Linked DNA regions of Nothobranchius furzeri. The protein of the gene in region 3 binds, or shares a complex with, the protein of the main gene of each other region. Links are inferred from orthologs where the notes say so. Each region holds a gene or a part of one and is shown on either strand. Other genes may lie near its edges.

Region 1 (3,754 bases), on a different chromosome or scaffold from region 3:
CTCATGGAGGGACACCGTATGTACCACCTCCTTTCTCTTCTGCAGCTCTCCCTCCGGACATTGGACAAACTGGGTCTACAAAAGACAAAACAAAGAAAATAATCCAGCAATCAGTCAACCTGCATCCTCAATCTGAATACAGTGGCATCACACCTGAGCGCCCATGGCGTCGTAGTCTCGGGCTCTGGTGAAGGAGCGACCCAACTTGCTGATTTTCCCAGTGGCTTTATCAATTGTAATAACATCTCTGTAAAAACAGAGTAAATAGATTTGTTCTAACGTCGCTCCAGCAGAGAAAAACGAGACTAGAGAGTCTTGTTGTGCGAACAGAACCTACCCAGCTTGAACCTTCTCCTTACTGAGACTGTCAATCATCTTGTTGCCCAGGTCATAGATAGTCTCCATCTCTGTCGTCTTTAGAGTCAGCTTGCCTACTTTTGCACCCTGACGGAAAGAAAATATAATTTTTATTAAACAGGACTCTTCAAAGAGAATAACATCAATGTATTTAAGCTAACAGAAAGTGGGAGACAATAAATTCTGAGACTACTAGCTAACATTAGAGAAAGTATCCCACCGTTCCGGTGGCCGGTCTATCAATCTGGATTTCCACAACCTCTCCTTCAATAATCTCCGTCTCCTCTCTGTAAATACGGAAAAAACAGTCAAAGGCAAATCATTTCATACAAAAATAATTAAATAATGCTGTATCTGTGACCGCTGTCTCACTTGATCCTCACTCCAATGGCTTTTCTAAAAGCTTGGCTCAGTGCCTCGGTCTTGCTCATTTCCAGGGAGAAGATCTCGCTACCAGCCAGAGCTGTGAAGGGCGTGTCTGAGCCGAGAGACTGTGCGATGCCTATAAGACAAGCTCATCAGGAACAGGATGCAGGAACTCTTGATTCAAAACAAAATGCAACTTGAAACATTTACATCCATGGACAGCTTCCAACTCGGCTCTCACCCATTGCAATGGCAGTCTTTCCCGTGCCAGGTTGGCCAGCGATCAGGACCGCCCTGCCAGCAATGTGGCCGTCTTTGATCATCTCCAAGATGACCCCTGCTGCCCGACGGGAAGCCAGCTGTCCAACCATCCCCTGAGAAACCTGCAGGTGAAGAGGATCAAGTCTCCTTCAGACAAAACCTCACACACATTAATGCTGGAAAATTAACTAAACCTAAAAGAACAACACTGCTCAATATTCTAAAGTGTTGGTAGATAATATAAGAGAAAATGTCTGAAGTGATGTGATGTTGAGGTTACACAGGCTATCTACTGTATTTTCAGTTTAACCAGTTCTAGCAAAGTATATGCATTAGTAGTAACCAAACAACACATTTTACAAACAGCTTTTTTCTTTTAAAAGACTTAACAGAGTTTCTTTAGAGAGCATGAACAGGAAGTCCACAGCAAATGAATCAGAGACAAGAGTACCTGTCTTGGCTCCAAAGCATCATCCAGGCCAAGGCCCCGAATGTGAGAATGGGCCCCTGAACGCAAAAAGGTGGATTTGAAGGAAAAATAAAGAGCACACACAACTAGCAGCATCATACACCCTTATGATAAATTAGCTTTTTGATTAGTTAACGGTTCAAGACGTCCACACCTACCAATTCTTTCAATCCGTGTGATATCACGAACCTCTGGAACCTTTGTAGCCGCCATCTGCATCAGGTGAAACACAACAAGAAAAACTTGTAATATTAAGTAGATTGTTTTACGTTTCTGAATAATTAAGCAATGCAACTTCTACTGACCAGTTATTTGTCTGTATCTCACATTATGACTCAAAATAAGTCAAATTATTAAAAACAATAGTTAATGTGTAAACCTGATCATACTAAAACGGTAAAGATCAGATCCAAAACTTGATTTGGCAATGAGACACACCTTTTAGTAAATAATGTACCACAATAAAACGATATTTATGTTGTTTGCTAGATCAGAAAACGTCTGAGAGGTCTGTTCTGTCCAGCTGGTTGTCATAGTGACAGTTATAACCCATGCGCTACAATACATTAGCTAGCGTAATACAAAGTTTCGATCACTTTCCAAATATTAATGTCATACGTGAAAGCAAGAAAACTTTTAACTGCCACCACATTAGTTATGTAACATACCGAAACATGTGCGGCTACATTGCCAGCGTTAAAACAGGAATAGAATAGCATTCCGTGGCTAATGTTGTGTTAGCAAACAGCTAGCTTCATTCATCGCTTTATTTAAAGCTAACATTCAAAACAAGCAGAATGGGGACGTCAAACACTCCAACATCATAAGACTTTCTTCAAATTACACAGACAACAGCAATCGGGCAGCATAAACTGTAATATGTTTGAATTTTATATTATTTTATAATAAGCGTGTTCACTCACCTGCACCACTACACTCACCGAAACGTGAGAACGAGGCGCTCCTTTCTGAAAGTGCACCGAGCAAATGCGTCCGACTAGAAACAAGTAGTTTTTTTTTCACAGGGGCACATGGGGGAGCGTTGTTACCATCGGTTGTTACTGAATTGTTTTTGACCAAGAAGACAAAACTAACGAGGTAAATACGTTTCATTACACGATTCTTATAAAGGTACATAAAATGCTAATTCAAAATTTTATAAATGTTAACTCGTTCAATGAATGTTTGTAGAACTGGGTCCGTGCATTTCGTGTTTTCGTCATTTAAATGTTCTCATTGGAAACCAGTAGAAACAAAAGAATCGCTTTTTTCTTAAATTTCAAATACAAAATAATAAGCCATTGCTAAAAAAGGATGAGCACAACTATTAAAACATATTCTATTCACATTTGAAATAGCAAAAATATTTTTAGTTACAAATTTCCAAGTTGCTTTGAGTAAAAAGTCTTCTTACCAGTGAGGGGTCCTTTAAAATCTAAAACACTATAAAAAATTATAAAGAGGTAATCCAGGTAGAAGACATTTGTGTGCTGGTGCATTTAACAAGAATGAAAGCAAAAAATAAAAATAAAGGGACATTTTCTTGTGACTTTCTTTTTTATATACTTTCAAATGGAATTGTCCTGTTGTGAATTGATGACATGACAACAATTGCAATCTACTGAGCTTTCTCTTAAAATAATCTAAACAAATAAGCAATGAGAATAAGAATGCATCAAGCACAAAACACATTAAAATACTATAATTTTGAAAATAAGTCATTTTAAACCAAGGCATTTGGAACAAATACGTGAGGGACGTTATTTCTCAAATACACACGTACCATTCAAATTATCTTGTGACTATTATGTAAGTTTAAATGTAATAAGTTTTTTATTTCAAGTTTTGAAGGGTTAATCAGATATATTTTTGTTCTATATTAAAAAGAAACACATCCACATGGCATAGGAAGGCCAACATTGTCTGATGGAAAACGCCATAATAAAGCTCTAAAAGCTTTTCTCCACCAGAGGTAGCAAAGCTCATAATTTAAAGCTGTGGAATTTTTGTTCATGTGAACTTGCAGTGATCAATGCAAAGGAATATCAATCAAAATATCTGATAAGATAAGTTGGCTGGCACTCCATCCTTAAGTTTTCTTCTGACAAGTTAGATTTCGTGTTTTTATACCTTTAGAAATGCAAAAAAAAAGGGTGTAAAGCAAAGTGTGCTCAAATCTTTCTGGAGCAGGTTTTCATCTCCTTCCTGTCATTAGAATTCCCCCCTAAAAGTGCAGCTTTCGGGATTCCACACACTTTAAATTACATAACTGACATGATTGGCTAACTGGGTATATGTTTA
Region 2 (3,754 bases), on a different chromosome or scaffold from region 3:
AGATGTTAGTCTCGTCGAACAGAGCTCTGGTGGTTGTCCATCCCTAACTAGTGTATCTGCCGAACTGCCTTATGGGAGTTGAGAGTGTCCCTGTGGAGGGATGTTCCACAGAGCTGAAATCGAACCGGGTCACAAACAGATCCGGTACCGGAGGCTGTAAAGGGAATCTACTCACTTGTTTTTCAGCTCCGAGGACGCGTCCATGTCCTTGAACTCTCCAGCGATGTGAACGATCCCGTAGCAGGTCATCACAAACGATAATAATGTCTGCAGAACGATCTGTGGTGGGAGCAAGACGACGGTGAAGACAAATAAAAAGCAGGGCTCTCTCTGAAGACCAGAGATGGGTTACTCACGTCGATAGGCAGCGTTTCGTGCTCCTTCTCTGTGAGCCGCATGTATGACCGATCTGATGGGAGAGTTGGGATTTAATCAGAGTAATATCGACAATAACTCACAGAATACTCTTAATCCAAACATTAAACGACGGCAGTCACACAGAAGCGAGCAGGTACAGATTAAAGTCTTCCTCCGTTGGAGGCTCTAGCGGAGCTAGCTAAGCTGCTGTGGCCACAGGCCCCGCGGTCCTTCACTCGGTGGAGACTCAGTCCAACCAGAACTAACCAACACAGGAAAACATCGGTCTAACATCTTGGCGCTGAAACTCACGCTGTGCTGCCGAGAACGCTGCGTGGGCCAAGGCAAAGAGTCCGATGCCGACAACACCTTTCCAAAACGAAGAAGCCATCTCGAAGCAGGGCTCAGAGGGACTGTGGGCACCGTCGTAAAACAGTCGTAAACTGACGCAACTGTCACTGCGTCAAAACCAAAACCTACCTGCCAAATGATTATTTATGTTCGTTAAATATTATTATTCGCAGCCTGATATCTGTAAAATCATTTTATTTATGTGTTTTTGCCCTCTATTTAGATTTTTGTGAGCTGAAAATACCCAAAGAAAGCTGTCAGACGTCAAATGGTGCATTCGAATCACATCCTAAATTACATGTTTCTAACCAAACTCATTGATCTCCAACCAATATATTTGATCGAAAATTGAAGATTAGATGTATAACTAGAAAGAGCTTTTCATGGTTTAGTGAGCGTTTGCGTCAAAATAAGTCCAGATACACATAATTTTATTCTGACCTCGATTTAAAACCAGAATATCCGAGTGTGCCCTGAATCTTCCACTACATCCGGTCTCTGCGTAGCTTCTTCCTGTTAGCTAGCGCTGTTCTCTCATGTTGCCTTGCTAAGCGCTCTGTTACAATAATTAAACTTTTACAGTTGTGTAAGATAAAATAAGCAAACATGGCAGACGCCATTCAGAAGAAATTAAAAGCGGAAGTAGAAAAGTATGCACAAATGCAGAAAGGTGGGTTTTCTTTATGTGCTATCACAAGTTTTAGAGGGCATGTAGCCGCTATGTGTGCATGAAGTAACGTTAGCTTTTTGGCCATAAGAATAGTTTTTTAACCCACCTGCGTGTTTTTTCAGATGTTAGCAAGAACATGTCAGCCAGACAGAAACTGGAGACGCAGCTGACAGAGAACAACATTGTTAAAGAGGTAACTTCAGTCCTGTATGGCTGTATATCACAACGGTTTGTGTGTAATAATCCAGACATGACTCGCCTGTGTTTCCAGGAGCTGGATCTGCTCGACAGCTCAAACACCATCTATAAACTTATCGGTCCTGTTTTAGTGAAACAAGATCTGGATGAGGCCAAAGCCACCGTGGCTAAAAGACTGGAGTACATCAACGGGGAAGTGTAAGTCAAGCTGCTGCTTTACTGTTCTACAGCTCACCTGCACACCAATGTCTGTGTCACAGTGGTGAAAGATGGTTAGATTTGATCTTGTTTTTACAATTTCAGGTGGACGAAGCCGGTTAAACCCTGATTTTACTCAGACTCAGGCAGGAATCTTAATGGAAACAAACATAAAATGTAATTCTGAGCAATGCCAGACGCAGAGATGAGATCATCAAATTAATGCGAATATTAAAAAAACAGTTGGCCCTTATCATTTATTGCCATTGACAGCTAAAGACGTCATTTTAAATCCAGTGGCTCGCTGCAATTGACAACTAAAGCTGTCAGTTGCATTGTTTTAACGGGGTGGGCGTGGGATCGAGCCCCCGCACCATGAGAGTAAACATGACGTCTCTAAAGCTGATCTTAGTCCGTGTGTCACACGTCACCTGATCAGGAAGGAGAAAATCCATGAATTGGGATATTGTTTTGGGACGCTGCTGTGAAAAAAGCGAGGCGCTAACCAGAAAAGCGTCTGCAGCTCACACTTGGACAACAGATTGTGAAAGAATGGTTAACGCTAGAAACACGGTGATTCTTCCTGATGTAAAAAGTGAGTCTACTCTTTCTTTCGATAGTTTTGGCGTTTGCATGATCATAGAGCACAACGTTCTGACTCTTCAAAATCAGTAAAAACGCTCAAAAACGCTGGCAGCCAGGGGATTTCTGATCAGAAAACAGCGCAGTGAGTGAGTTAAACAGGATCCACCATAGTTCCTTATTTTCTTGTGGGTTGAAGCTGCTGACAGTCGCTTTTAAAACCATTTATTTAACCAGGAAGTCTCATTTTTAGTTGAACATGAAGGGACTTTCTTAAATTAGCGTGTTTGACATAACCGAATCCTTCACTAAGCGATTCCGGGTTCTAGCATGGCGGTGGTTAGGATGATACGTTTCACCTCTTGAGTGTGCACTGACGGAAGCATATTTTTTGCGTGTCACTTTTCCACTCAAAACGCAGCACTGAAGAGATGAAGTTGGAGAGGAACGGAAAACTTCATCCACAAAGACCAGCAGTTTGTTTTACTGGAGAATTAGACTGGAAAACCGGCATTCCCAGTTAGAACCAGAGAGGAATGTTTCAGTAAATCTGAGTAAATACCTGCTGCTGGAATTAAATGAATCAAATACAAAATCAGAAAATACAAAAAAAAACAATCGAATCCAGAATTATAATAGTTTTACTAATTTTGCTTGTTATTCTCATCATTACATATTTCCAGAGATTGTGAGTTAATTAAAATTAAAAAACACAAATTCCATATTTCTGACTGTGAGGATTATGTATTTTGATACTCGACACCCAATGTGTCACATATTAAAATATGCTGACTAATCCCAGCTGTCAGCCGAACGAAGGATTAATTGTATTGGACACAGAGACAATCGCATATTTAAACCTGGAAACAAACAAACAAAAAAATTTGAAAAATACAAAAGCAATGAGACAAATGAAAAACCTGCTAAACTTTGGAGAAGCCATGGCGCTCACACCGCCTTCACACTGGCTCAGCAGGAGCAGGAACACCTCCCGTTCAGGTTCAGTTATCCTGGTTATTCCTCCTCTCCTCCTAATCCTCAACCTCCATCTTTGAGAGTGGAGCTTGAAAAATCAGAAAAATGTGACGGCTGGATCGAATCAACAACAAAAATAATTTTCCTACAAGGCATTCTGTTTCGGACACACAATCATTTATGTTGAAACGTACCTTAAAGGGATACGATGTAAAGTTTTCATATTTTTAATCATTTTCTTGAGTAAGTATGTGCTAGAATGACCCTTAAAGGAGTCATCACCCGTTACTACCGTGGATATCTACATCACATTATATTATTTAGGCCATGAAAGTCATTTGTATTGGAAAATTAATTAAAAAAGTGCTTTTCTGACCCTTTTTTGTAAAGGACAGGTTTTCTCACAAGAGCACACGCGATATT
Region 3 (3,141 bases):
TTTGACCTTTCCTCACTTCCAGTTGATGCACTGACTGGAGGGGCTCCCGATCACCATGGAAACAAGGGCCCTCTGCTGCTATTAGTGAAAGGGCTTAATTGTTGTGAAGATTTAATGATCCGGAGTAGTATTCAGGGCAGAAGATATTATGAACTGTTTGTGCCATCATTTTTCTTCTTCTCCTCTCCTCCGTTTTCTCCAACATGTTTAGGATTTGAACTCTTCTGCAGCTTCCTGTCTCGACGCCGAATGTTTCGTTGACAGATTCGTGTTAGCCCGCTGCCTGTTTTTGCGACTGCCTGTGCAGAACGCTCGTTCTCATGATCATTTACTCGTTTTCTGCAGATGTGAGGAAGGAATTAGACGATCTGTCCAAGACGATGAAAATGTTCGCAGCAAAAGTTGGGTTTGCAAGCGACCTGGAAACCTTATCAGCTGTACGTTGCATTTGTGCACGCTGTCACACGTGAGATGTTGAGCAAGATGCAGGCGGTGACTTAATGCATTGACTGTTTTTGGTATTGTTTTGATTTAGAGTAAAGAAGCCTATGTCGACATCAGAGAGGAGGTCGGAAACAATGAGTCTGCTGTCACAAAAGGTATTATCGTCTTTCGTCTGACCTCATTTCACTAAAACGCAGCTTATGAGAAGGCAAAGCAAATATTTAACTCATTACTGGATTCTTTACAACAGTAGAGGGACTTTTCTTCATGTAATTGGTGATTTGGTTCATTTGATTCTGATTTCCTTTACAGGAAAGCAAAGGAAAGCCCACAAACCAAACTCCAAGCCCAAGAGCGACGTGGTGTTTGATCTGAAAGAGGAGGATGAGGAGGAGAGTGAAGATGGAGGGAGCAGAAAAGGCATCTTGACTGAGGAGGAGTTGTGGACTCGACTGGATGAACTAGAGAAGCTCGAGGAGCTTCAGGATGAGCAGGACAGGTGTGCGATCGCCGTCTTATCAGATTTATTCATTAGATTTGGTTGAATCTAAAGTGTCGCGTTTGTCTCCAGATTATGTGATTACGCAGACATGAACGGCGAGAATTCATCTTCCTCTTCCTCCGAGGAGGAGAAGGAGACGGATGTTGCTCCTCCGGTAAACGGGCCGAGTTTGAAGCCGAGCTGGAGAGCCGCACCTCCCAGCGGACAGCCGCTCTCCCAACGGAAAGAAGACGAGTACGATGAGGAAGAAGGCGACTGCTCGCCGACGATTTTTTTCTCCCACACAGTCGAACCCAAAAAGGTTGTTGTGTTAAAAGAGTCGTTCGGATTAGAAAGTAAACATTGCATGTTCCGCGTTCTTCATGCAGCGTCTTTGCTTGGTGCCTCAGGTGAGAATCAACACGGGCAAAAACACCATGTTGAAGTTCAGCGAGAGGAAAGAGCAGAAGGAACATTCGAAGAGAAAGAAGAAAAATGGCCAAAGTAATGGACACGCCCACCACGAACTCCACAAAATCACGACCCCGGCGGATATTTACAGGTAGAAGACCTGGAGGAACTCTGGTGTCGCTTTGGTGAAATTAAAGAGTTGCTTTCATTTTTTCTTCCTTCAGGTTGTTTGTGGATGTGAAGAACGGCGAGCTCGTTCCCAGAAAGTCCATCTTGAAGTCCCGCAGTCGAGAGAACAGCGTGTGCAGCGACACAAGCGAGAGCAGCGCCGCCGACTTCGAAGAGCGCAGGATGGTGGCGCGCAGCTTCAGTCACGATGACACGACGCACAGCGACACCAGCGACGGCATCACAGAGGAAGACAGTCCCACAGCCGTGCCGCTGCTCGCCTCCAGCCGCTTTGAAGTCAGTTTGTTTCTACTTGTGGTGTTTCTACAGATTCAGTGTTCAGATTATTTGTTCGGCTCTAAAAGCGACCGATGTCCGTCATTAAACATCAACCCCACAAAGGAAAATGATCCGGGTGTCCTCTTTATGTCTTCTCCAGGCGTTTTCAGGGACAGTGATAGAAAAGGACCCGATGCCTTTAGCTGTCCCCCACCTGACCATCGTCCCACCGGCTCTGCCAACCATACTGGAGAGGAAACAGGAGGAGGTGGTGCCCGACGTGGCCCCGCCTCAGCAGGCGCCTAAAAGGGTGTCCAAGTTCAAAGCTGCCAGGCTGCAGCAAAAGTGACTTTTGGCGGGAACATTTTTCTTATTCAAGCATTTTTCCCTCTTTATAAACTAATAAACACTTTTTACACTTTTCCCTCTAAATGAACAGGGTCCTTATTATTCATTAAAATGGAAACATGTCCATCCTACCTATCAACCTGTAGATGTTGATAATTAGAACTTTTTTGACCGGGTCAGAACTTGACCTGTTTTCCGCTCTGCTGCTGATCCCTGTTGTTTCCGGGTGAAGTGAGTCTGTACACATCAGACACCCTTTCTTTATGAAGCAGAACCAGTTGCTGAAGTGTGGTTTCGAACACTCTGACCTTCCTAATGAATGTATGTATTTTTCTGTGACGAGCTTTATGTAAAGAAAAATGATTAATCGAAACTAAAAATAAATGAATTTAACCACCATTTTTTCCTGTGCTTGTGATCACAGTAAATACTTTTGATTACTAGCTAAAGTATTTTTATGAGCCAGTTGTTTCTTGTGATTATATGGATAAAAACCATAAAAACTCAAAGTTTGGGGCAAAAAATAAACATTTTGAAAAGCAGAGGATGTAAGTAAGAGTCACAAATTCAGATTTAAAGGGGCATTATGGAAGTTTGACAGCCAAAACATGTATAGAAATAATAAATATCTTCTTCATACATTCTCCTGCAATGCCCTGGTCCTGTAGAATGAGCCCTGGCATTTTTACTGTGATTGCCTGTTTTTCTGTAAAATCACAGAAAAAGAGAGCTGCTCGGGTCGAGCAGGCTGCTTCACGCGCACTCAGGCATCGCCCGTAGCATTTGCTATCAGTAGCTTTAGTCTTTGTCGCTGTTCCTAACGCCTAGTGACAAAGCTAGCTACATTTCTGAAGAACTTTCTTCTAGATATTTCCTGCAAATTAGCAACAAAATAGCCATTTTCGCTCCAAATCGTTCTTTGAACGTTGTTTCAGCTGTTAGCAAGGATATAAATGTTACAGATACAAAAGATGTCACTGACACTTTAGCTCATCTAGTAAGACATCAGA

What was found.
Region 1: uri1 (region 3) and ruvbl2 share a complex: the UniProt entries of both Homo sapiens proteins name them as parts of the PAQosome complex. The link is inferred for Nothobranchius furzeri from reciprocal best matches to the Homo sapiens genes URI1 and RUVBL2.
Region 2: uri1 (region 3) and pfdn6 share a complex: the UniProt entries of both Homo sapiens proteins name them as parts of the PAQosome complex. The link is inferred for Nothobranchius furzeri from reciprocal best matches to the Homo sapiens genes URI1 and PFDN6.

Annotation. Positions count from the first base shown.
Region 1 is NC_091750.1:65,677,963-65,681,716, reverse strand, and holds the start of ruvbl2 (ruvB-like 2), read right to left. Parts: upstream 2,449-3,754; 5' UTR 2,377-2,448; intron 1,667-2,376; coding exon 1,612-1,666; intron 1,492-1,611; coding exon 1,436-1,491; intron 1,107-1,435; coding exon 965-1,106; intron 860-964; coding exon 730-859; intron 645-729; coding exon 578-644; intron 445-577; coding exon 338-444; intron 248-337; coding exon 154-247; intron 76-153; coding exon 1-75. UniProt on the Homo sapiens protein: Possesses single-stranded DNA-stimulated ATPase and ATP-dependent DNA helicase (5' to 3') activity; hexamerization is thought to be critical for ATP hydrolysis and adjacent subunits in the ring-like structure contribute to the ATPase activity.
Region 2 is NC_091741.1:28,885,365-28,889,118, reverse strand, and holds the start of pfdn6 (prefoldin subunit 6), read left to right. Parts: upstream 1-1,192; 5' UTR 1,193-1,314; coding exon 1,315-1,378; intron 1,379-1,500; coding exon 1,501-1,571; intron 1,572-1,649; coding exon 1,650-1,774; intron 1,775-3,754. Other genes in the region: mmgt1 (ER membrane protein complex subunit 5), read right to left, coding at 176-279, 357-409, 670-748. UniProt on the Homo sapiens protein: Binds specifically to cytosolic chaperonin (c-CPN) and transfers target proteins to it. Binds to nascent polypeptide chain and promotes folding in an environment in which there are many competing pathways for nonnative proteins.
Region 3 is NC_091744.1:78,617,904-78,621,044, reverse strand, and holds the end of uri1 (unconventional prefoldin RPB5 interactor 1), read left to right. Parts: intron 1-345; coding exon 346-437; intron 438-535; coding exon 536-599; intron 600-756; coding exon 757-943; intron 944-1,015; coding exon 1,016-1,247; intron 1,248-1,335; coding exon 1,336-1,487; intron 1,488-1,560; coding exon 1,561-1,801; intron 1,802-1,943; coding exon 1,944-2,132; 3' UTR 2,133-2,530; downstream 2,531-3,141. UniProt on the Homo sapiens protein: Involved in gene transcription regulation. Acts as a transcriptional repressor in concert with the corepressor UXT to regulate androgen receptor (AR) transcription.